Caenorhabditis elegans: one gene and its partner. The protein of the gene in region 1 interacts with the protein of each later gene in a pairwise test. Each region holds a gene or a part of one and is shown on either strand. Other genes may lie near its edges. The genes, in order: skr-8 and cul-1.

What was found.
Region 2: the proteins of skr-8 (region 1) and cul-1 interact in a two-hybrid assay, tested with the Caenorhabditis elegans proteins (2 studies listed by BioGRID).

The regions. Positions count from the first base shown.
Region 1 is NC_003282.8:17,161,463-17,172,911, reverse strand, and holds skr-8 (Skp1-related protein), read left to right. Parts: upstream 1-7,077; coding exon 7,078-7,662; downstream 7,663-11,449. Other genes in the region: skr-12 (Skp1-related protein), read right to left, coding at 5,120-5,638; skr-9 (Skp1-related protein), read right to left, coding at 8,755-9,339; skr-13 (Skp1-related protein), read left to right, coding at 10,297-10,815.
Region 2 is NC_003281.10:10,465,792-10,480,538, forward strand, and holds cul-1 (Cullin-1), read left to right. Parts: upstream 1-5,445; 5' UTR 5,446-5,446; coding exon 5,447-5,574; intron 5,575-5,628; coding exon 5,629-6,859; intron 6,860-7,381; coding exon 7,382-7,843; intron 7,844-8,002; coding exon 8,003-8,329; intron 8,330-8,384; coding exon 8,385-8,447; intron 8,448-8,961; coding exon 8,962-9,093; 3' UTR 9,094-9,338; downstream 9,339-14,747. Other genes in the region: atx-2 (Sm domain-containing protein), read left to right, coding at 82-396, 504-795, 1,251-1,463, 1,521-1,621; D2045.5 (non-specific serine/threonine protein kinase), read right to left, coding at 2,316-2,887, 3,175-3,625, 3,680-3,712; D2045.9 (Glycosyltransferase 25 family member), read left to right, coding at 10,197-10,456, 11,129-11,288, 11,580-12,031, 12,266-12,493, 12,936-13,284, 13,498-13,653; D2045.7 (non-specific serine/threonine protein kinase), read left to right, coding at 14,093-14,206, 14,251-14,346, 14,595-14,747. UniProt on the Caenorhabditis elegans protein: Probable core component of multiple cullin-RING-based SCF (SKP1-CUL1-F-box) E3 ubiquitin-protein ligase complexes which mediate the ubiquitination and subsequent proteasomal degradation of target proteins.

The DNA of each region.
Region 1 (11,449 bases):
TCCAAAGCTGGAACATCAACACGGGTTTCTGGCTCGACCCCTCGGTGTTTTTTGTGCAAACACCGTCACGCGCAAATGCATACTCTTTTTCAACGCGCTGCGTGAAAATTCCTCGTGCGATTTCAAATATTTTTTCCCACCATTTTCTAAAATTTTGGAGAGGGGGGTCGAGCCAGAAACACGTGCATCAAAATTTGAAGAAAAGTCTTAATTTTTTATTTAAATCAATTAAAATCAATATATATGTTAAATTTGAAGTACGCTATTTTCCCATAAAACCTGAAAAAACGTATAGAAAAAAGTTTCCCAGTTAATTTAATTCTTCTGAGTTTTTAAAATATTTGTTTACATTATTTTACTTTATTGTTAGAATTTTCTTACCAAATTTTGTTTCTATAAATTTGAAAAAGTTTAAGATTTACCGGGTTTTGCTCGGAACCTAGCAACTGATTTTAACTTTCTTCAAAAATTACTGTTTCAACGTTTCCATAGTTAAAAAGTTTGCAAAGTTGTACTGATTTCCAGAAACTATTGAAGCAGGTCAATTTTAAATATCAAGAATTTTATAATTAATTTTCAAAAGTATTTCATTTTAGTTTACCTCTTCTTCAAAAATCCACACTTTCAAAATTTTCGTAATTTTTTTTTGCTGTTTCAACAAGTTTTCATTAACAGGTCGGAAACTTTTGAAGTATTCGTGAGACTCCTGTCACAGCTGGAAAACTGAATTTGAGCCAAAATTTTTGCTAAACATTTTAATATTTATTCTGTTTCAACAATTCCTGAAATCAAAATGTTCCCATTATAAATCGTTCGCAAATAGAACAAAAATCAAACATTTAACATCAAATTTTTCACCGCGAACACCGTTTATTTATTATTTCCCCCCGTTATCATTATCATTATCAGTATTCCTTCCACCTTGTTTTAGACTCGTATTTTCCATTTTCAGATGGTGAACAACGTGCTGATATAGTGTTTCGTCGACACAGAAATCATATTAGTTAATGTTATCACAAATATGATGGAAAACATGATGAATCAGCGGAAAACCCCTCCAGGTTAATTTTGGACGGAAACAGGGTAACGCGGGGTTAGGTAAAAATCTGCTAAATGTACTATGTAAAAAAATGAATTGAAGACCAAATCGCCTCTAGCGGGGCACAAATCAAATTTCTAGACCCAGAATCGTACTCCATAATCCTAAAAAAAAAAATATCAATCCATTTTTATGAAAATTCTGCCAAAAATCCGAAATTTTTTTTTTGCAAAAAAAGTGCTGTCATATGTATGTAAACAAAATGAACTGAAGACCAAATCGCCTCTAGCGGGGCCCAAATCGAATTTCTAGACCCAGAATCGTACTCCATATTAATTTTAAAAAAAGCTATCCATTTTTATGAAATTTCTGCCAAAAATCCGAATTTTTTTTTTTGCAAAAAAGTGCAGTATGTAAAAAAATGAGTTGAAGACCAAATCGCCTCTAGCGGGGCCCAAATCGAATTTCTAGACCCAGAATCGTACTCCATATTAATAAAAAAAAAAAAGCTATCCATTTTTATGAAATTTCTGCCAAAAATCCGAAAATTTTTTTTTTGCAAAAAAGTGCAGTCTAAATGTAGGACCAGGTGGCAGACTTAACGATTGGCAATCTTCGAGATTTCATTGTGGTCGTTGGAGAGCAGCTGTTCATTGTGTTGCTCAAGAGTCAGAGGACTTGCCTTTTGTGCAACTTGTCGATTAATTTTTAGCACAACGTCTGTAGTCTGGGCACTGCCTATAATTACCCATTCATTCATTCTCGAATTTTTCTTCAATGCGAGCAGTCGTTTCTCTTTTCTTGTCTCATTTCTTAATGTTTTTTTTCTATTCTGTACTTTTTTTTAGTACATTGAAACTATCTTGTTAAGATCCTGTCTAACTTTTTTTGATTCCAGTTTGCAGGATAACTATTTTAAATTTCCTTTTGACTCCACCAATTTTTGAAAAATTTTATTTTTTGAATCTCACCGTTTCAAGGTCGATCCATAGCCACTAGATTTGTCGGTTTGGCCTATAGTTCAGCCACTTCCCGTTTAAATCTTCCCATCAGTTTTGTGGAGGGTTCTTGTTTAAATTTCCTTCATTAGTTTCGAGATGAACGGTTACCATAATAGATGGTCTATTTATAACGATTTTCTGAAACCGTAAAATTTTAACGAATCGATTATACAGGGTGAGTCAAAATTATGGTAAGTAGTTCCCGTGCTCCATACATTTTTCCAGAAACACAAACAACTTCTAACTATACACATTTTATTCACCGTAAAAAACACTATAGAAAAACATTTTAAAGTTCGAAAATATCTCCATTAGCAGCAACACAGGCCTCCAGACGCCTAGGGAACGAGTCGACTGTGGCGCGCAAGTAGTTGATATCCAACTCGTCCCATGCCTTCTTCAGTGAATCTTTCAACGAATCGATATTCCTATGCGGTTTTGAACAAGCTTTTGCTTCGAGGACACTCCATACTGAGTAATCCATCGGATTGAGATCCGGGGATGACGGTGGCCATTGATTGAAAGCGATGAAGTCCGGGAAGTTGCTTTCACACCATGCCTGAACGTTCTTGTGCTTATGAGCAGGCGCCCCATCCTGCTGAAAAGTCCATTTTGTTTTTTTGAAATGCTTCTTGACCCAGGGCATGAGTTCCGTCTTCAACATATCTAAATAGTTGTTTCCGTTAACTTTTATCCCTTGTGGAACAAAAATGAGTGGAGTCTTTCCATTAGCAGTGATTCCGGCAAAGACCATGATTCCTTTCGGGTAACCAGTACGCTGAACGCGGGAGTTTGGCTGAGTTTTTGCATAAACTCGATCATTTTGCGTATTAAAAGACTGCTCAATGCAAAATATCTTTTCGTCGGTGAAAAGTACCTTCCTGTGAGCTCCATTTCTGAATCTTCGGAGTAGATTCATGGCACGGTCTTTTCTCTTGATTTTAGCAGCTTCAGACAGAAATTGACAAGTAGATTTTTTGTAAGCCTTCAATTTCAAGTTGTTTTTTACCATTCGGCACAGAGAACTTTGCGAAATTTTCAATTCTCGGGCCATCGCACGGACCGACCGCCCGGAGTTGTGACGGAAGCGTCCACGAACTTTTTTTATCATCGCTGGTGTAGTGGCTGTGGGGGGTCTTCCGCGTCCGGATCTATCGGAAAAGTTGCCGAGCTCCTTGAACCGTGCAATGGTGGTAGAAACAAGTTTTTCAGACACTTTGAGCCGTCGAGCAATGCTCTTCGCCGCGACACCATTCCTATGAAAACGAACGATGGGTTCACGCATGGGTGACGCTCTCATACCTGCGAAAAAAAAATTATTTTTTAGGAAAAACGATGGAAAAATAAATGAACAAAACACGAAATAACATAATCAATTAATTTTGGCGGGGAGACCCGAACCACAGAACTTTCGCGCGCGCGCCTCGACTTACCATAATTTTGACTCACCCTGTAGTCAATTTCTTGACTTCATTTCCAGTGTCGTCGTATGCGAATATGAATCGTTTCCCATTTTTCATTGAAGTAATATCGATTAATTTTGGGTGCGCGTTGAGTCAGAGCACATTCTTATCCTTATTCTGTCTTAGCCATTCTTTCATTCTACCCAGCTGGTTCCCGGTGAGCTGGTCGTCTCTTTCTTTTCTCTTTTGATTCTCGGTTCAATTTTCCTCACTTGTTTTTAAGCTTATATATTTTCCGAAATTACAATTTAAATTTTCAGAATCTACCTAGTCATCACTATATCTGCTCCAGTTGCCGATGCTCCAGCTGCTGAAATCGTTTACAAGATCATTTCGAGCGATGGAGTTGAAAACAATCGAAAACTCTGAGCAATCTGATTGAAAATCTCGGCTACACCATCGAAAACATCGAGACCCGTGATCCAATTCCAGTTACAAATGTGAATAGAAAGACTATGGCGAAGGTTGCTGAATGGTGTGAGAAGCACAAAACCGATGCAATTCCAGAGGACAATATGAATGTTCTCAAGACTCTTACCATTCCAGAATGGGATCAGAAGTTCTTGAAAATTGAGGATGAAGCTCCTTGACATCAAGGGTCTCATGTACTTTGGGTGTAAAACTGTTTCCAACATGGCAAAGGGAAAAACAACTGCTGAACTCAGAGAGATCTTTGGAATCAATACGGATGAACAGGATGCTGCTGAGGAAACTGCACAGAGAGCTGTCGCCGAAGTTGTCTAATATTCTGATTGTTTCTGGATTTTTTTTTTGAATTGTATGTCGCCTTTAACAAAATTGCAAATCATTTTTAATGTAACCTAAAATTCCCCAAAAAATGAACATTTTCAACTTTTTCCCAGCATTGTTAGTATTTTACAATTCACTGTTACAAATTCAACATCACGTTGTGAAGTATATACTACATTAGTATTATTATTGCACAGCAAATCGGGGCAAATGAAATAACACAATTTGGAAGTGTGCTTGCTTTGTAATCCTACATTTCTAAATTTCGCCTGCCGCGTCTATTAAAAATAAAAGTTTTTTAAACTGTGTTTGTTCACTGATGTGTTCTGGTTTAAAAAACTAGAAAATTTTAATTTATTCGTATACTAATTGATTTTTTATTTAGTAACTCTGTAGAAGTTAGCAAAATTGGAAATATTACCCCGTTGCAGAAAGACTATAATATTTGGAGGCGTTTTTGTGAATTCACATAAATATTCGTTTGATGAGGATTGTTTTAGTCTTAAGGCAATTGAATACTACCCCAGTTTTATTTTCTTTTTAATTAAACCTTCAACATAGACATGTTCGCTCGGGTCTTTGTTGTGCTCTGATTACTATGAAGTGGACTAGTTTCAGTATCAAAAATTCCCCAAATTATACTGAGAAAATGAACATTTGGAATTTTTCATTTGGCGTATATCAGTTTTAGGAAAATTGCTTTTCAAAAATCAGTAATGTGAAACAGTAGAAGTTTTGTTAAAATTAAAAATATTTATGGTTGGTTCAAATTCGGCATGTGTCACAAAAAATGTGTTTGTTAAAAGAATTAGGAACAATTTCTTTGATAGAAAAGAAAAGACGTGCATCAAAAACAGTGATAAAAATTAGGCAACTTCAGCGGCAGCTCTCTGTGCAGTTTCCTCAGCAGCATCCTGTTCATCCGTATTGATTCCAAAGATCTCTCTGAGTTCAGCAGTTGTTTTGCCCTTTGCCATGTTGGAAACAGTCTTACACCCAAAGTACATGAGACCCTTGATGTCAAGGAAGTTTGAAGCCAGAATCAAATCAAACAAAGCTTCATCCTCAATTTTCAAGAACTTCTGATCCCATTCTGGAATGGTAAGAGTCTTGAGAACATTCATATTGTCCTCTGGAATTGCATCGGCTTTGTGCTTCTCACACCATTCAGCAACCTTCGCCATAGTCTTTCCATTCACATTTGTAACTGGAATTGGATCACGGGTCTCGATGTTTTCGATGGTGTAGCCGAGATTTTCAATCAGATTGCTCAGAGTTTTCGATTGTTGAACGGCTTTTTCACTCATTTTGGATACAACTCCATCGCTCGAAATGATCTTGTAAACGATTTCAGCAGCTGGGGCATCGACAATTGGAGCAGACATTATTGTAAGTAGAGAGGATCTGAAAATTTGAACGATTAATTGAATAAGATAAACAATATAAAACAAATGAATAAAAGCAAACGAAAAGAGGAAAAAACGACCAGCTCACAATGCAACTGATGAATAGAATAAACGATGAACAACTAAACAGTTGTGCACAAAATAAATCGATACATTTTTGTGGGAAATTGCCCAACCGTTGAGTGTTGACTGGTAACGATGTACGGTTGACAGATGTGATCGACTGGACGCAAACTCGAACCGATAAAATTTCAAAACAAACAATTGGAGAAATAACTATTAAAAATTAACTGTTACACCATTTTTTCCTTTTTTTTTGGGATGAAAAAATTCGCAAAAAATTTTCCCGTGGTGGAGAGTTGAACTCATGGAAAAAACAAACAAACAATTTAGTCACAGGCAACAAGTTCCTAGGGGGGAGGGGATGAGTTCAACTCTCCACCACGGGAAAATTTTTTGAGAATTTTTTCATCCCAAAAAAAAAGGAAAAGTTCATCTCCATATCAATGATGATGCTCCTGTCATGTACAGCTCACAATGCAACTGATTGATAGAATAATTGATGAATAACTAAAAATTGTGCACAGACTCAACGCGCAGACGAAATAGATTGATACTTTGCAGTGGGGAATTGCCTAACCGTTGAGAGATGACTAGGAAAGAAGTAATAAAGAAATTTAATCGACTGGGTTCAAACTAAAATCGCTGATATGCCAAAACTAAATATTGGAAAAAACTGTTTAAAATTTATTGTTTCAACACAGTGTTATGTAAGAAAATATCGTCAGCATAGTAGTTAGGATTAGTTGTACAGCCCTGCACTTTAAAACGACGATCTGGTGTGCGTAATAGAAAATGGTAGTAAAAAAAACCAGAAATGGGAAAAGAAACAGCAACATGGAAAAAATCAGAACACTGCTCGCCTTGAACAAAAAATTGCATAATGAAAGAATGGGTACCAAGCAATACAGAGTCTGCAGACGCTGTGCTAATAATTAATCGATGAACTGCACAATGGACAAGTCCCTGTGACTATCGAGGTGAACGAAGAACAGCAGCTAATACAGCTTCAATAGAGCAGTGTATGTACATTTTCCAATCAATAACTGATCTACAACGTAACCGATACGCTACATTTGCAGCGTTCTTGTCATATTCTGAATATTGTCCATTCGAAGAATTATTCTGTCGTTTGGCTCTCATCGCGAACAGTCGCATTTCATTTTTTCTCTCCTTTTCTTTATTTGTCTGATTTTATTTTAGTTTTTTATTTCCTTTTACCTTTCTGATCTTTTGAATGGTGCCCAACTACCCTTTTATAAAAAATTTTCTCTTAACGTTATTCCTCGCCAGTCTTCCATATTTTGTTACGATCTTTATCAATTCATATTTTTTAGAAACTACCCAAACTTCTAAAAATGATTGCTGAAGCCGCCGCGGTCGAAGTTCAAGCCAACGAGGCTCCAGTTGTTGCTCCAATCATGTACAAGGTCGAATCGAATGATGGAAAAGTGTTCGAAATCAGTGATGAAGCAGTTAAACAATCAAATATCCTCTCCAATCTGATCTCTACTTGTGCTCCAGAGGATGTTGCTTCAATGGATCCAATTCCAATCACAAATGTCACTGGAAATATCCTGAAGATGGTCATTGAGTGGTGTGAGAAGCACAAAGGAGAAGCGCTTCCAGTTGAAGATGACAGTGTTCCAAAGAATATAAATGTTCCCGAATGGGATACCAACTTCTTGAAAATCGACAACGAAGTGCTCTTCGACTTGATCGTTGCCTGCAACTACCTTGATGTGCCTGGATTAATGAATTATGGATGCAAGATGGTTGCCAACATGGCTATCGGAAAATCTCCTGATGAGTTGAGAATCATCTTTGCAATTCCAACTGATGAAGAAGATGAAGCTGCGGAGAGAGCTGCAAAGGAGAAGGCTGAAGCTGAGAAGAAGGCAATTGCTGACAAGGACGCAGCTGAACCATCAACTTCCAAATAACTTTCATGCTCTAATTTTTTCAAGTTTTTGATGACATTAATAAATTTGATTGTGATTCGACGTTTTTATAAAAATAATTTAAAGTTAAAATTACAGAAGATGTAGTCGAAAACATGAAAAATAGGATTACCTATAGAAAAAGAAAACCAACGGTTTTGGATTCATAATTTTAGGACTATGATAGCACTCAATTCAATTGTAGTTCAATTTTAATCATAAGAGTACATTACCAAACAATGTGCAAAACATTTGAATTCTTTTGTTAATTATTTCAAACGCTCGAACAATTATATTTATTTCTAAAAATCGGTTGTGCCTACATGACACGCCTACCTTAGTGTGACTCGTTTCCATGAAACAAATTTTTCGAGTTTTTGATCAACTAACACCTTTGGCTGCCATTACAATTTATGTAAATATGAATTTCAGATTTTTTTTTACTTTCAAGAAAATGAGGCCGAGCACAGAAAGAATAATACAAAAAAAATTTAAAAAAAGTTTTTATTCTGATAAAATCTACTGTTTCGAATTTATCGTTTCAAAAATGTAATGTTTCCAACTCTGTTGTTTTATTCCATCTTTTATTCAATTGAGCACAACAATTTGCAAGATATTTGGATTTCTTTGTTGAAGATTTCAAATAGTCAAACATTTATCATAGTTTTGGAATTTGACCCAAAAAAATCGAATAAATTTGAATTACGTGTAGTCTACAAATTGTTCGTTGAACATCTTCAAATCTTTTTGGCCCTTTTCGCGAATGTTTTTACAAAATATTACAAGCATTACTTTTCATTATTTCAAAGCTTACTTCTGCATAACGTTTGTATATTGGTTTTTTTTAAGGAATGTTCGTTTTCAAATCAACTGTAAGTAATAATATTACTAATAATTATTGAAACGGTTTACAGTTATATCGTACAACTTTAACACTATATCAACTGTTTAACAAATTCTAAGATTTTCTCTTTTATACGTACTAATTTTTCTTATTTTTTACATTCAATTTCAGTCTGAAATTTTTTTTTAAAAACTTATAATGACAGTCAAATGTATTTATTTACCAAAAACTCGAAAATAAAAGTGTGAAAGTTATTTGGAAGTTGATGGCTCAGCTGCGTCCTTGTCGGTGATTGCCTTCTTCTCAGCTTCAGCCTTCTCCTTAGCAGCTCTCTCCGCAGCTTCATCCTCTTCATCAGTTGGAATTGCAAAGATGATTCTCAACTCATCTGGAGACTTTCCAATGGCCATCATGGCAACAATCTTACATCCGTAATTCATTAATCCAGGCACATCAAGGTAGTTACAGGCAACGATCAAGTCGAAGAGCACGTCGTTGTCGATTTTCAAGAAGTTGGTATCCCATTCGGGAACATTGACATGCTTTGGAACACTGTCATCTTCAACTGGAAGCGCTTCTCCTTTGTGTTTCTCACACCACTCAATGACCATCTTCAGGATATTTCCAATGACATTTGTGATTGGAATTGGATCCATTGAAGCAACATCCTCTGGAGCACAAGTAGAGATCAGATTGGAGAGGATATTTGATTGTTTAACTGCTTCATCACTGATTTCGAACACTTTTCCATCATTCGATTCGACCTTGTACATGATTGGAGCAACAACTGGAGCCTCGTTGGCTTGAACTTCGACCGCGGCGGCTTCAGCAATCATTTTTAGAAGTTTGGGTAGTTTCTAAAAAATATGAATTGATAAAGATCGTAACAAAATATGGAAGACTGGCGAGGAATAACGTTAAGAGAAAATTTTTTATAAAAGGGTAGTTGGGCACCATTCAAAAGATCAGAAAGGTAAAAGGAAATAAAAAACTAAAATAAAATCAGACAAATAAAGAAAAGGAGAGAAAAAATGAAATGCGACTGTTCGCGATGCGAGCCAAACGACAGAATGATTCTTCGAATGGACAATATTCAGAATATGACAAGAACGCTGCAAATGTAGCTTATCGATTGCGTATTAGGTCAGTGAACAATTACCAGCTGCTCTTCTTTCAGCTCGACAGAGGACTTACCCATTATATTATCGACTGATTTTCAGCACAGCGTCGGCTGACTGCTCACTGTCTATAATTACCTATCATGTTCACTTGCATTCAATCTACATTATTTTCTTTAGTGGCAGGCACTCACTTTCAGTTTTTCCCTGTGATTTTTGCAATTCCGTACAATTTGTGTGTTGCGTGTATTTGGCATTTTTCCAAAAATCTTCCAACCATTTTACATCAGCATTATCATTAATATGAAGATGACATTTTATAAAGTTATGTTGAAACAGTAAATTTTTAAAATTTATTCTTCCAATTTTTTATTTTCAAATTTCATCGATTCTAGTTTTCTTCGAGTCGATCACATCTGTCAACCTTACATTTTTCCCAGTCATCCCTCAACGGTTAGGTAATTTCCCACAGAAATGTATCGATTTATTTTGAGTGCGCGTCGCGTATGAGCACATCTATTCAGTCATCCATCATTCGATACATCAGTTGCATTGTGAACTGGTTGTTTTTTTTAATAGTGATTTCTCAATTTTTCTCTCTCTTTTCTTTGAACCTTAACTTTTGAACCTAAATAGCTCATATCTGACATTTTCAGAATCTACCTAGTCATCACTATGTCTGCTCCAGTTGCCGATGCTCCAGCTGCTGAAATCGTTTACAAGATCATTTCGAGCGATGGAGTTGTATCCAAAATGAGTGAAAAAGCCGTTCAACAATCGAAAACTCTGAGCAATCTGATTGAGAATCTCGGCTACACCATCGAAAACATCGAGACCCGTGATCCAATTCCAGTTACAAATGTGAATGGAAAGACTATGGCGAAGGTTGCTGAATTGTGTGAGAAGCACAAAGCCGATGCAATTCCAGAGGACAATATGAATGTTCTCAAGACTCTTACCATTCCAGAATGGGATCAAAAGTTTTTGAAAATTGAGGATGAAGCTCTGTTTGATTTGATTCTGGCTTCAAACTTCCTTGACATCAAGGGTCTCATGTACTATGGATGTAAGACTGTTTCCAACATGGCAAAGGGCAAAACAACTGCTGAACTCAGAGAGATCTTTGGAATCAATACGGATGAACAGGATGCTGCTGAGGAAACTGCACAGAAAGCTGCCGCTGAAGTTGCCTAATTTATGGATGTTTTTTTAAAATTACGACAAATCGTTATTCCGCTGTTGACAATAATAAAGCTAACTAAGCAAATTTTACACAAACGACAAAAGTGAGCTGATGAGCCCACGGTGGGTTTATTTGCCTATTTCTCCCACATTCCACAGAGAAAATAAAGTTGTGAAAATTTAAATGTAAACTTAAAAAAAACATTTGGAGAGAATTTGTAATTGTTGCAATTTTTGAGACAACATCTTATCAAAAATTAAAACATTTCCTGTTTCAAGTGTTTCATAAAATTTTTTCAATTTTCAGATTTTCCATTGTACTTCTCCTTATCAGAGGATTCTAATATTTTTTAAAAAAATTTTATTTTCTGGGTTACTATTAATTTTCAAAAATTACCTATTTTAATAGTTTATTAATCTATATTTGTTAAAGTGTAGCTCAAGAAAGCTTTAAACTTATAAAACCTGATTGAAACTGCAGGAAATTCGAAAATTTAATAACAATTGTCAGCATGCATTATCAAAAAATTGTTGTTTTAATGTAAAGTGGCAATCACCAGCAAACGTTCAATTTCCAAATCCCTGAAAGAAAACTAACCAAATTTTACTCTGAAGTACATATTTTCTTCCTGCCTACTTGCCTGCC
Region 2 (14,747 bases), on another chromosome or scaffold:
GCCTTGAATTTTTAGAATTTTAAACTTTTCCTAATCTAAAATTCCTGATTTCTCAATTCCAAAAATTCTAAATTTTTTCAGCAATTCTATCATTCACAGTACCAAGGCCAGATGCAGCAAGCTGCTCCATACCAAATGAAGATGATGCCACAGCAAGCTCCACAGGGTGCCTATCAACAGAGATATCAGCAGCCACAAGTGTACATGATGCCTCCACAGGGTCAGCAGCAGCAGCCGAGATACCAGGGTCCTCCACCACCACAGCAACAGCAACAGCAACAACCGCAGCAACAACAATTCTCCGGAGAGCAAAGTCGCCCACAATCACATCCGAATAGTCAGCCAACGACTCCGGGACCACGTGGCGAGTTGCCAAAGATGAGCGGTGCTCCACAGGTGAGATTTCTTTTTTTTTAAACTTATTCGCATGTTTCCCTCTTTCAAACTTTCTGTGCCTAATAAGATGAAGCTTTTCAATATTGTGACCGTGACTCTATTTTCAGAACGGAAACATGCAGGCCGAGTCGAGCAGCAACGCTAGTCACAGCGGATCGACGAGCTCTCAGTCGGGACAACGAAGCGGATCTCCACCAGGTGCTGTTCCTCCACCACCACCACCACAGCAGCAGCATCAGCAACAACAACATCCACCACATCATGCTCCTCCACACGTCGGAGCACCACCACCACAGATGATGCAGCAGCAGCAGCAACACATTCAACAGTATATGGTGATGCAGGGACCGCATCAAATGCATCCGCAGATCCCTAATTACTATCAGCAGCCTCAGGCATGTTTAATCTCTCTCTTTCTTTCCTTTTTTCAGTGGTATTTTTGATTTTTGGTTTTCTTGTTTTTTTTCCTTTCTTTCAGAAGTTTCAGAACAAAATTGTGATTGACTCTGCTAAATTTTTGTAGATCTGCAAGTTCTACAGCTGAAATCGCCCAGTGAAAAAGGAGAAAAAATTGCCTAATGTTTTTTTTCATACTTTTTTTCTTAAAAATAGCGAGAAAGTTTCGATTCCGACTGTAGAACTTGAATGTGCCCAAATCAACGAAAAATTGGCAAATTTTAGCTGAGATCTCCTATTTCGGCAATTTTTCTGGATAGATTTTTTTTTTGAATTGAATTTTGAGATTTTATTTAAAATTACCATTTTTTGAGAAATATTTGAAAATGTCTCACACTCTATAAAAGAACAAAACCGAGAAAAAAACGTAAATCTAATTTTCAATCATTTTCAGCAAGTATTCTATCCGATGATAATGCCCCAACAGATGCCAATGCAACAGAACCAACATCCTCAACAAAGTCTTATGGGCGAGCGATCTGATCAAGGATTCCCGACGTCGGGATACTTTGACTACCGTACAATGCCAAACTATCAGCAACAACAACAACAGCAACAGCAACAAATGCACCGCCAGAATTCGCTTCCACAGCAGTTCCAAGGCAATCAAGGTAATGTTTTAAATGTTTATAAAGTTCAAATTTCTAACCGTTTATGAAGCTTTGAAGGTGTAAATCCATCTGGTCAACAATCTGGTCCACCACCACCGCCACCACCGTCTCAACAAGGCACACCACGTGATCAGCAGCACTCTCAGAGCCCCCCGTAATCATATCTATATGCGCTCTTCCTGCGCTTTTCAGTGCTTTATATAATGTTTCCCCAATATATATTCATTTTAATATTCTTATTTTCTTCCTTCTCTTCCTTCTTTTCATCAAAAATCCGCTTCTCCCCCCTTCCCCCATGCCACCATCTACAACAACCACAAAAATCTCGTGGAATTCCGAAATTCCGTCATAAACAACAAGATGTGATGTTCTAGTTTTAGAAAAAACCGTGTGTTCTTTGTATCCCCTCTTGTGGGTAAAGTTCACACCGCCAATACCTCCTCCTCCTCCTTCTCCCCACACAAATTACTTGTAGTGTCGGAAAAAGTACACTTTTCCGTACACGAAGGATCATGTCAAAATGCTCCTTTCACTTTTTATTCGTTATTTCTCTCGCTCTGCCTTCCTGATTATCCGTTTCCGAGACCGTCTTATTCTTTTTTTTTCTTGTAAAACCAAACCAATAATCCTTCCTTTTTTCTTTTTTTTTGAGCAATACCATCCCTCCCCCCACAACAAAATCTATAATTTATTTCCTTAACATTATTATCTTCAACCATCTCGCGCACACTACTCATATTCTAGTGAATGCCCCTTTCCCCCGTCCCCCAGATGTAATAAACATCAATTATTGCTCATTGTATTTTTTTTCACAAATTCATAGTTTCAGGGGTCAATCAGTTCAGAAATAGTTCAAAGATTGAGGATCTTCTTCTTAAAATGAGCAGAATCCGCATACGGCCAGATCTTCTTCGCCATTTGCATCTTCGTCGCCACCTTATAATCGTTAGGAGCTCTCTTCTCACTGATCGACAGAGCCGTGAACATCTCCTCACCACCGCCCTTCCCAAGCTCCCACTCGAATCGGCCAAAGAACGATCCACGGACTCTCTTGAAACCGGCAAAGCACTCGCTCCACAGGCCGAAATAATCCGGGCGGCTCTTGTATTCCAGTGTCTCCAGGTACTTGTGAATATTCGCAAATTCCTTGGGACACCCTTTCAACAAAGTTTCCATGGAGCATGCAATCTTCGCGTCCATAATCTCCTTCTCATCGGTCAGTCGGCGCCACGGGAGCCCACAATGAAGCTCGATGAGCATGTAGAGCCACGACCAGAGATCATCGACGCGTCCCTGCTCTTTCCGATTGTGAACGTTCATGCTGCAATAGCGAGGAGTTCCACGGAATAGTTGCTCGCCGGATCGAGCTCTGCGGAGTGCGGTCTCTCCGTTCTCTCGTTTGGCGGTGAATTGACGGACCATTCCTGAACGAAGTTTGGTGTGATTTTTGAATCAAAAATACGGTGCCGGGTCTCGACACGACAAACATGTGTGTTGAATGCGACGTGCACCTTTAAAGATTACTGTACATTTCAGTTTTTCATGATTCAGAGGATGGATCTGGAAAGTGTTTTTTTTTCGAGAAAAAACGCAACATAAGGAAAACAGTTAAAAAAAATTACAGTACTCATTTAAAGGCGCACACCTTCTCGCATCAAACAAAATATTGTCGTGTCGAGTAACGGGATCGTCAAAATTCGTAAAAATTTACCATAATCAATAAGATAGACGTTTTTGGCGTCACTCCCATGAACCCCGGTCACACAATTTCCCGGCTTAATATCCCGATGAGTGAATCCCACTTCATGAATCTGTTTGATAGCAAACAACGTTGCCATCGCGAGACGAAGAGTCGTCTGCTCACAGAATCTCGGAGTATTAGCATCCCGTTTATGAGCCATCAGATCCTTGCCAAGAAGAGTCATCACCATGAAACAATACGATTTTCGATCGCCAGCATCCATCAATCTTGCACAAAACGGCAGTGGAGCCAGTGATTTGAGCACGTGAGCCTCCAGCTTCAGAACCCCGCCGTCACTCACGTCTCCCTCGACTTTCATTGCGGCGTATGTCTGAAAGCGGGTCAGATCTCGTACTTTGAACACCGCACCCATACCGCCTTCGCCGAGTTTTTCAACGATTTTCCAACGCTTTGCGATTATCTGAAATTGAGGGAAATTGTGAATTTCCGGCTGAAAATGCTCAGAGAAACTCACTTTTCCTTCTGTGATCGCTTGAATTTCTTCCATACTGATTCTGACCACGAAATCGATTGAAACTGTGTAGCTAATAGAGAAATGTAGCTTTTCGAAATATTGAAATAAATTTAATTATTTATTCAATCCTTTTATGTATTGGTTTTTTGTTATTCACATTTTAAAATATTTTTTATTTTTCACGGCCGTTGTTCACCGATCATATGATTACGGTGAAAATTCTAAAACTATTTATTTCCTATTTTATACCAAATAGTTGCAACATATTCTGATAAATCATGTAAGTCTTGTAAGAATACAAAATGTTCTTAGATTTAATTAATGTTGTTTTTTCTTGTTATTCCAGGTACAGTATCTTTTTAAAGGCGCACGAACTAATAAGTTTACCGAGTCCCGCCAAGAACTGTTTCGAGTTTTACAGCGATTTTTGTTCATTTTTTTTCAGTTTTTGTCTATTTATTTGTGAAAGAATAATTTCTCCTCTTTTCCGCAATAGAAATATAAAAAATGATTACAGTTTTATGGGCTCCTGTTTAAAAAACCTAGTTCTACAGTACTTCGATTATTACTTCCACTAATTAAAATTTCCTTTGGGCATCGCCAGGATCGATGTACAGTTAAAAATCTGTTTTCCACCTGTTGTTTTATCGAATTCTTTTTTTACTTTTTTTTCTGCATAAAATGCATGTTTTCTCCAGTTTTTCTCGAATGAAAACGCGTTTTTCAACTTTAAACTATTAAAAATTCGCTTTCGTGTATTTTGCACATCGAAACACCTAAAAAACAAACTTTGCTATTGTTAAAACCTTAGAAAACTCCGCCCGTTCATTGCACAGCCGCTAATCATTCCCTCCTGTGACCTTTCTTTTCCAGATCATCCCGCCATCTCAGCTGTCTTTTGTGCACTAACAGAACCATTGTACTCACCAGAATTTCTTTAAGAATCGATGAAGACACAAGATGAGGCGTCTCTAGCTTGTGTCGCGCAGTCTCCGTCTCCAAGGGTGTTTAGCTCACTGAAATGGGCTCTGAAAAATCAACTGAAATTCGCTTTTTTTCTGTTCTTGGAAATTCCTGAGTCCCGGGGAAAATGAAATAGTCTAAAATTATTATTATTTAGGTGTCTTTCATCTGAAAATTTTCCAAAATTCACAGAGTTTTTGAAAATCTCCTGTTAAGAACAATTTAATTTATTTCCCCAGTATCACTTGAAAAGCTAGAATTATCGCTGGAACAATTTCCTTATGTATTTATTTAATTTCCCCTTTTCCCAGGCTAGCAAATTAGAAAATCTCCTATTTTCCCTCCAATTCCCAGTTAAATTTATCGATTTGCGGTGAGAATCGCGTCCGAGGGCAATCGATTTACTGTCTTCCCGCGATTTTCAGCGCGTCTTCTTAATTTCCAGTCGGAGGCTCACTATCGAGTCATTTCTAACGTCTGCTGGCTCACAAGTATCCCCATTCAGTGATGGCTCTGGATTTTCGTCTTTTTTTTCTATTCTTCCAGGATATCTATATTTCTCCCCCAATTTTGCTCCAGTTTTCCAATTTTTTTGAAAACATCTATTTTTCCGGGATCTCATAAATTTTCTCAATTTCAAGCCCATTATTTCCACCTTCGGTGACTTTTTCCCAACACATGATGATTTTGGATTGGAGCGCGTTTGCGTTTGGGCCCTTGTTTCCTCGTTCCTCTGTTTCTTGCGAAATTGACAAATCCCTTGATTTTAATCGACAATTATTTTTTAAAAATGTGTTTTTCAGTATGACAAATAGCGAACCGAGAAGAATGACGTGTGATTCCGAGGTGGTTTGGAAGAAATTACAAGATGGACTTGATGTAGCGTATCGCAGAGAAAATATGGCGCCAAAAGACTATATGACTCTTTACACGTAAGATTTCCCCCCGAAATTCCACAGAAACTCAATAAAATCTTTAATTTTCAGAAGCGTCTATGACTACTGCACATCGATAACATTGTCCACAAGCCGCCGAGACGGCGAAGACGGTCGAGCAGAATCTTCAACTCCAGCACGAACCGCTGGCGCGGATTTTGTCGGTCACGAGATGTACCAGCGTGTTGAGGAATATGTAAAAGCGTACGTAATCGCTGTTTGTGAAAAGGGCGCCGAGTTGTCGGGCGAGGATCTTCTGAAATACTACACAACTGAATGGGAGAACTTCCGAATCTCGTCGAAGGTGATGGATGGTATTTTTGCCTACCTCAATCGTCATTGGATCAGACGTGAGCTCGACGAGGGCCATGAGAACATTTACATGGTTTATACACTTGCGTTGGTCGTCTGGAAGCGTAACTTGTTCAATGATCTTAAGGATAAGGTGATTGATGCGATGCTCGAGCTGATTCGTTCCGAGAGAACCGGATCCATGATCAACAGCCGATACATTTCTGGAGTTGTCGAGTGTCTTGTGGAGTTGGGTGTTGACGATTCGGAGACCGATGCGAAGAAGGACGCGGAGACCAAGAAGCTGGCCGTTTACAAGGAATTCTTCGAAGTCAAGTTTTTGGAGGCGACCCGCGGATTTTATACCCAAGAGGCGGCAAATTTCCTGAGCAACGGAGGAAATGTGACAGATTACATGATTAAAGTGGAGACAAGACTTAATCAAGAGGATGATCGCTGTCAACTCTACCTGAATTCTTCCACAAAAACTCCACTTGCAACTTGCTGTGAATCTGTGCTCATCTCTAATCAGCTTGACTTCCTCCAGAGACACTTCGGTGGTCTTCTTGTCGATAAACGAGACGATGACCTTTCCAGAATGTTCAAGCTTTGCGATAGAGTGCCGAATGGACTCGACGAGCTCAGAAAATCCCTGGAGAATCACATCGCAAAGGAGGGTCACCAGGCGTTGGAAAGAGTTGCTATGGAGGCGGCAACCGACGCGAAACTCTACGTGAAGACGCTTCTGGAGGTTCATGAACGTTATCAAAGCCTTGTCAATCGATCATTCAAAAATGAGCCAGGATTCATGCAATCACTCGATAAGGCGGCGACTTCTTTTATCAATAATAATGCCGTCACTAAACGTGCCCCGCCACAGGCTCAGTTGACAAAGTCCGCGGAGCTTCTTGCCAGATATTGTGATCAACTGCTCAGAAAAAGCTCGAAGATGCCCGATGAGGCGGAGCTCGAGGAGTTGCAGACGAAGATTGTAGGTTTTTCTCGCTTTTTTTTTTCTCAAAATGGCGTAATTTCCAGCTAAAATTTGAAATTTAACCAACTTTTTGCATATTTTGGTTGTTTATTTCGTTGATTGAGGAACATTTTCGATCGATGAGTGCACACTGCGAAACTGATAAGTTGGCTAAATTTGAGATTTTCGCTGAAAAAAAAAAACAGATTCCTCTCCTTTTTTTCATATCGTTTTTCATACCGATTTTTTCATATCGATTCATATCGAGGCTTCTCAAAATTTCGAAAAATACGGCAATTTTCCCAACTTTTCAATTATTTACCTTTTTCTGACGTTTAAATGTGGCTATAAATCGACCTAAATCAACGAAAAACGCCAGTAATCAATTAAAAATCAATTTCCGACATACGGGAAAATTTGAGGTTTTATCTAAAATTGCCATATTAAAGGATTAAAAGATTTAAAATATTTCAAACCTCCATAGAAATGAAAACCCAATTTCTAAAAAGTTAGCTCAAAATTCTAAAATTTCTATTCCAGATGGTTGTGTTCAAGTACATTGACGATAAGGATGTATTCTCCAAATTCTACACGAAAATGTTCAGCAAACGACTTATCAGTGAACTCTCAGCAAGTGATGAAGCCGAGGCTAACTTTATCACGAAGCTCAAGAGTATGTGCGGGTACGAGTATACCGCCCGTCTCTCGAAAATGGTCAACGATACTCAAGTCAGCAAGGATTTAACCGCGGATTTCAAGGAAAAGAAAGCGGATATGCTCGGCCAGAAATCCGTTGAATTCAATGTTCTCGTGCTCAGTTCGGGCTCATGGCCGACTTTCCCAACGACACCAATAACTCTTCCACAGCAGCTGTCGAAGACTATTGAGATCTTTGGACAATTCTACAATGAGAAGTTCAATGGACGTCGGCTCACGTGGGTTTACTCGCAGAGTCGTGGAGAGATCACTTCTACAGCTTTTCCCAAGAAATATGTGTTTACTGTAAGTTTAAACGTGGAATTTCTATCTAAAAATATTTTTTAAAAATCCGGAAGAAAATGCCTGAAAAAAGTCCAAAATTTTACTATCTGCCACCCAGCTAAAATTTGAATTTTCACTTGGATTTTATCGAATAACAGCTAAAAACCTAAAATTTTCCAGGCCACAACTGCTCAAATGTGCACAATGCTTTTGTTCAACGAACAGGACTCGTACACTGTCGAACAAATCGCCGCTGCCACAAAAATGGACGAAAAGTCAGCACCAGCCATTGTCGGCTCTCTCATCAAAAATCTTGTGCTCAAAGCGGACACAGAACTCCAAAAAGAGGATGAAGTACCGATGACGGCGACCGTAAGCCTCAACAAAGCCTACATGAACAAGAAAGTTCGTGTCGATTTGTCAAAATTCACGATGAAGCAGGACGCCGTGCGTGATACGGAAAATGTGCAGAAAAATGTTGAGGAGGATCGGAAGAGCGTGATTAGTGTAAGTTTTTGATGAGAAATCGGCGGTTTTGGAGAGAAAAATTCAATAATTTCAGGCTTGCATCGTAAGAATCATGAAAACTCGCAAACGTGTACAGCATCAGCAGCTTATGACAGAGGTTCGTTTGGAAATTTCAAATTTTCGAAAAAAATCGATAAAATCTACGTGGAAATTTAATTTTAATGAACTTTCGAAAAAAATCTGATTATGGAAAAACGAGTTTTTCATAATTTGTTGATAAAATCTACGTGGAAATTCAAATTTTCTATACATTTTCGTAAAAAAAACGCGTCGAAATTCGAATTTCTTATGAAATTTCGATAAAATTCTCTTGGAAATTCAATTTTCAAAAAAAAAGTTCACCTGAAATTGGTAGAAACTCTGTAAAAATTGAAAAAAAAATCTTCAAAATTTTCGAGCTTTCGTAGTGCATTTTCAACACAAAATTCTGAAGAAATAAATTAAAACCCCTAAAATAAAAGATGATATCCACGTGGAAAATCAAGTTTTCCATGAAATTTGAAAAAAAAAAATCACCGGAAAAATCGAATTTTCTTTGAAATTTTAAAAAACTCCACTTGGAAATTCAAAGAAAAAACATCTAAAACCCTCTAAATATGATATTTTTGCAGGTGATCACACAACTTTCCGGTCGATTCAAGCCAAAGGTTGAAATGATCAAGAGATGCATTGGATCACTCATCGAAAAGGAATATATGCTCCGTACAGAAGGACAAAAAGATCTCTATGAGTACCTCGCCTAATTCATTTCATTTTAAATATTCTATTTTCTCTTTTAAAAACTATTTTTCCCCTTTACTTTTTTCGCCCAGTTTTATTCTCCACCCTCTTCTTCCCTTCATATCCGTGTTTTTGAAAACTTCAACACCATCTGTATTCTATTACTTATTCTCCTCTCCAAGTCCCTCCTTATTCGATTGTTCTTCTTTACAGAAGCGGGTCCTGGCTTCATTTTGCGCTCTCTGGTAAATGGTCCTGGGTTTTGTAAATCGTTTGTGTGTAGAATATTCGAAAAACCGTATACTCGGTAAACCTTTTTGATTTTTTTTCGTCTTTTTTCGGAAAAATTAAAAAAAAATTCAACTTCCAAGTGAATTTTTCAGTTTTTTCAAGGCCAAATGCAAAAAGGTGAGTAGTCACTTGAACCACAGACAACAAAAAAATCGATGACGAATTATTACAACAAGACAATTTGGATGAGACACTACTGCTGCTCTGACCCCTCCGTCTGTTCACCAGATGCACTTTTTCCCACTGCTCTGAGTCTTCACACTAATGCTTTGCTCAGTCTTCTCTGTTTATAGACTACTATTTGAAGGCTAACTTTCCACGTTGCGTTGACCGGGAAATTTGAATTTTCAGTTGTTTTTTATTACACAGTCGCGAAATTTTCCGTACCCGGTCTCGACGTGACAAATTTTTGCTAAATGTGAAAAGGTGTGCGCCTTTAAAGAGTACTGTAATTTCAAATTTTCGTTTTTGTGTAATTTTCTTCGATTTTTTTAAAAAGTTTTACTTTAAACATTTGTTTATTTCAAAAATATAACAGTAAACGTACATAAATTTCAGCAAAAATTGTGAGAAAAACTTTGAAATATCGATTAAAATTTCGCTGAAACGAAAGTTTGATATTACAGTACTCTTTAAAGGCACACATCCTTTTGCGTTTAACGAAAATTGTCGTTTCAAGACCGGGATATCTTATTTTTTGGCGTAAAAATCGCAATTAGAAATTCCAATCTTCACTGTATAATGGAAACTTTAAAAAATTCTACTATTCTAATATTTTTTAGAACTTTTTTGAAAAAAATCGATAAAAAGTTTCCAGAATCCCTTCACAAAATATATGACCGAATTTCTACACTGCTTATTACTCTTCCACGTGTTTCTGAGCTCGTGGGCTCTATTTCCGGGAGCTGAGCCAGATGAGGGAGACGTTCGGCACATTTATCCGCCGGTGTATATAGGGGTTGGGCTCGGTGAGCACGCCCACGCAATTCCATACTTTTTGGGTTGGCTGGAGAATTTGGATTATCCAAAGGATAGGATTAAAGTGGAAATTTTCATTTTAAGCAAGGAAGATGCGACGATTCATCAGGTTAAATGGTTGGTTTAAAGGCGCATAACTTGCAAACCACAGGAACATGGATTAAGCTTAGTCTTAGGTTTAGGCGTAGGCGTAGGCTTAGGCTCAGGCTTTGGCTTAGGCTTAGGCTTATGCCCATGCGTAGGCTTAGGCGCAGGTTTAGGCTTGGCGTCAGTGGCGAGCGTTAGCTGACGCTATTTAGGCTTGGGTTTATAGCGTTTTTTCATTTTTCAAAGGGTTCCCGTTGGCCGATCAAAGCGAAATTTAACAGAGAGTCGTATAGGCCACCAAGAAGCTTAAGTCTGAAGTTTCAAATTGATTCCATCAATTAGGCTTAGGCTTGGGCTTGGGCTTTGGCTTAGGCTTAGGCTTATGCTTATTCGTAGGCTTAGGCTTAGGTATAGACATAGACTTAGGCTTAGCCTTAGGCTTAAGATTCGGCTTAGGCTTACGCTTAAGCTTAGGCTTAGTCTTAGGATTTTGCTTAGGGTTAGGCTTAGGCTAAGGTTTAGGCTTAGGCATAAGATCAGGCTTAGGCTCAGGCGTACGCTTAGGCTTAGGTTTACGCTTAGGCTCCTTAACTTCGTGCTCCTGCAACTTTTTGAAAAAACTGCTGAAAAAAAATGGCAACGAACAAATTGTAGCATGGAAAATATTTTGTCAGATAATTTTCCAAAAAACGTAGTTTTCAGGTGGCTAGACTCTACAAAACAATACTTCAAATCTGTCAAAATAATCGAAGAATCAGAAAATTGGCTGGAAAGCGGATTGAGGAATGCGAGACTTCAAAAAGTTGAACGTTGTCTTCTTATTTCAGGAGATACAGTTCCAACTGAGATGAATTTGATTCAGGTGAGAAATAGGTAACAAATTAGATTTGCGCGTCAAATATGGTGCATCGTTTGACGGAATTTGCTAAGAAAAACTCAAGTGATGGTGCATTGAAGATGGCTTCAGCACATATTTTAGTTGTGGACTAAATGCACCATATTTGACGCATCTCCAACAATTTTCAAAGTCTAAATTATAGTTAGTCTGTATACATATATCTAGTTTTGACAAGTCTAAATTAAAAATTGGAAAGTTTCAGATTTAAAAAAAATCGAATATATATTTTTTTAAATCCAGTTCCAAAAGTTTCAGTTTCTATTCAACGAAAAAACCCACGTGGCAGTATCCCCACTTTTCCAATCAATAGATGGATCCTCCAACATCGATGAACCTTCTGAAACCCTCATAAATCAAAATAATGTTCGCGAAGAAATTCTGTCATTTTCACTTCCATTGGCAATTGATTTGACAACTATTGATTCATCTTATCTAACATTTGATAAGGATAATCTTCCAAATTATGAAGGTGCCGATGATCCGTCGGAAGTTTTTGTGGTGTCTGCCAAGAATATGGGTATACAGTTATGGGCTGACAATCAAGTCAATTATGGATTTTTTGTGAATCCGGAGAAGGATATTGAAGAGAGAAGAAGCACGATTCGATATCAAATTGCGGATTTTTTAGCCGATGAGCGGCCACTTCCATTTGTTTCCAGAAGTGTGAGACCATGGCAATCAGAAGCCACGAAGCAGGGTGTTGATAAGTGAGTATATCATATTTGACGTGGAAAATTTGAAAGTTAGAAGAACATATGATTAGAAACATTTATTTTTGCGGCTTTGCCACCAATACTTAACGAGACCCAAACTATTAATTTTTCAAAAGTATTAATTAACATACTAGTGTGTTGCACCAAGGCGATGTGTGAAACCATCAATACCTATGCACCATATTCAACTTATCAATTTGATCTACCTAAAAGTAATCTTTTTTACAGAATCTACTTGGTAAACCTGAAACGCCGACAGGAACGTCTCAACAGAATGCAGAAAATCTTTGATATTCTTGGAATCGAATATTCTCTTCTAGAAGCTACCGATGGACAAAAGCTTGATGAGCTGCCGGAAGAGCTAAAAAATTATCAGATACTGGAAGGATACCTAGACCCAATTAGTAAAAGGCCCATGAAAAATGGAGAAATTGGATGCTTTTTGAGCCATTACAGGTGGGAGAGAACAACTTATGTAACAATTGAAAATGTCAAAAAATGCTTTAAAGTTTTAAAATTTTTAATCGATGCACTATGTTTTGTGTTCATGAAACACGAACTATTTTAAATAATGTTTTTTTGGAACATTGTCAAAAAAAGATAAATAACTGGGAAAAACCAGAAATGCGACGAAATTTTGAAATATTTAAATCAAGAGCTATGTTTAATAGGACAAATTCTACACTACTTTTTTGACTCCAAACAATTTTTTCGTAAAATATAGTATACATTTTGGCCTAGTCTCGGAATTCCAACTTTTGTACTCGATGCACCATTTTCTTCTCAAAATTATGTACTTTTTTGGAAAAAAGGCATTTTCTGCATTGTCATGAAAAGTTGAAAAGTAAAAATGAACAAAACTGATTAAAACAAAAAAACCATCGAAATTTTCTTCCAGAGTATGGCAAGACGTCGTTCAACACAACTACGAGAAAGTGATAGTTTTCGAGGATGATCTCCGATTTTCACACGACGGTTTGACCAGAATTCGGGAGGTTCTTCAAGATCTAGACGCTTCACATAAGCCGTGGGATTTGATTTATTTGGGACGGAAAAAGCAATCTGAAAATGAAGAATTATGGATTTCACAGCACAGACATTTATCGTCTGTTGAGTATTCATATTGGACACTAGGTTACATGTTATCTCTCAATGGAGCGCGGAAGCTTCTGAGACCGAATCCGTTGAAGAAGATGGTTCCAGTTGATGAATACTTGCCGATTATGTTTAATAAACATCCAAATAAGGTAAGCCTGAAAATTTGCGCAAGAATATAAACACTTTAATGACTTTCGATAATATTTGGAAAATCCAAATATATTTTGAAAAACCGATAACATATGGAAAAGTCATACCTACATACCTACATACCTACATACCTACAGACCTGCATGTCTACATACCTACATACCTACATACCTACATACCTGCCTACCTACCTACATACCTATTGTTTTCAGGATTGGTCGTTACACTTCGAGCCCCTCGACGTTGAAGCTTTCACCCTTTACCCATTAGTCGTATTCCCTCAAAAATACACAAATGAGCCTGGTTACGTGTCCGACACTGAAGATTCCGTCATTGTGACACCGAAACCTAAAAGCGAGGAATTGTGATTTTATTTAAATTTTGTTTAAATTCTATTTATTTCTTGTTATTCATCATTTTTGTGTGGGTGTCTTTCTCTTTCCCATCCAAAAATGTTCGGTTTTCTCGAAGTGGGTTTTATTCAGTTTTAAAAATGCGCGCATTTGTACCGTGCGGGTCTCGCAACGAAAACTTTAACAAGTAGAAAATATTCGGTATTTTCACGAATTATTGATAATTATTCCATCGATTTTTAAAATGAAAATTCGATATTTTCCAAGGACCTACTTAAACAATGCGTGCGCCTTTAAACTTCTGTTGTTAACTACTTACCATTTTGTTTATTGAATAAAATTCCTTGAATTTTACAAAATTTTCAATTTAACTTTCACTTAATTGTCCACCACGCTCAACTCAAAATACCTCTCAACATTTTTCAAGGAAAATCTCAAAAAATTGACCAAAAATATGAAAAAAGAGTGGCAGAGTATGGGATGTGTGACGTCAAAGGTACCGGATATTGTCGGCGAAGGATATCATCTCAAAGTTCGGAAAACTGTAGCAGTTGGCGGTTCGGCAAAGGTTTTCAGCGATATTTTCTGATTCTGAAAAATTAAATTTTTCAGATTATGGAAGTAGACCCAGGGGGAGGGAAGAAGCCGATGATTGTCAAGAAAATGGTGGCGTTTTCGAAACGAGAAGAGGAGCGAATTCTTCTGGAAGTGAGCTTCATAGTTTTTAAATTTGGACTTTTAAAATTTAGATTTAAAAAAAAATATTTTTCGCAATTTACTTCACAGTAGGGCTCCAACCTGCCCGCCTGCCTCTCGCCTTATATCAGGCGCGGCATGGAAGCCCTCCTTTACAGAATATTATAGATTTTTCAGGAAATTATAGATTTTTACAAAATTATCAATTAAAAAATATTGGGTTCACAGATTTACACCTAAAATTTATCGACTTTTTTCAGATCGATTTGTACAAAAAGCTGGAAAACAATGAATTTGTAATCGATCTTATGGCCCATATTGTGGATGATATCACCCATTATCTCCTATTTGATAAGTACTCGCAAAACTTTTTGGAATATATTGAAGAGTTGAAGATTGGCGGAGAGGTTGAT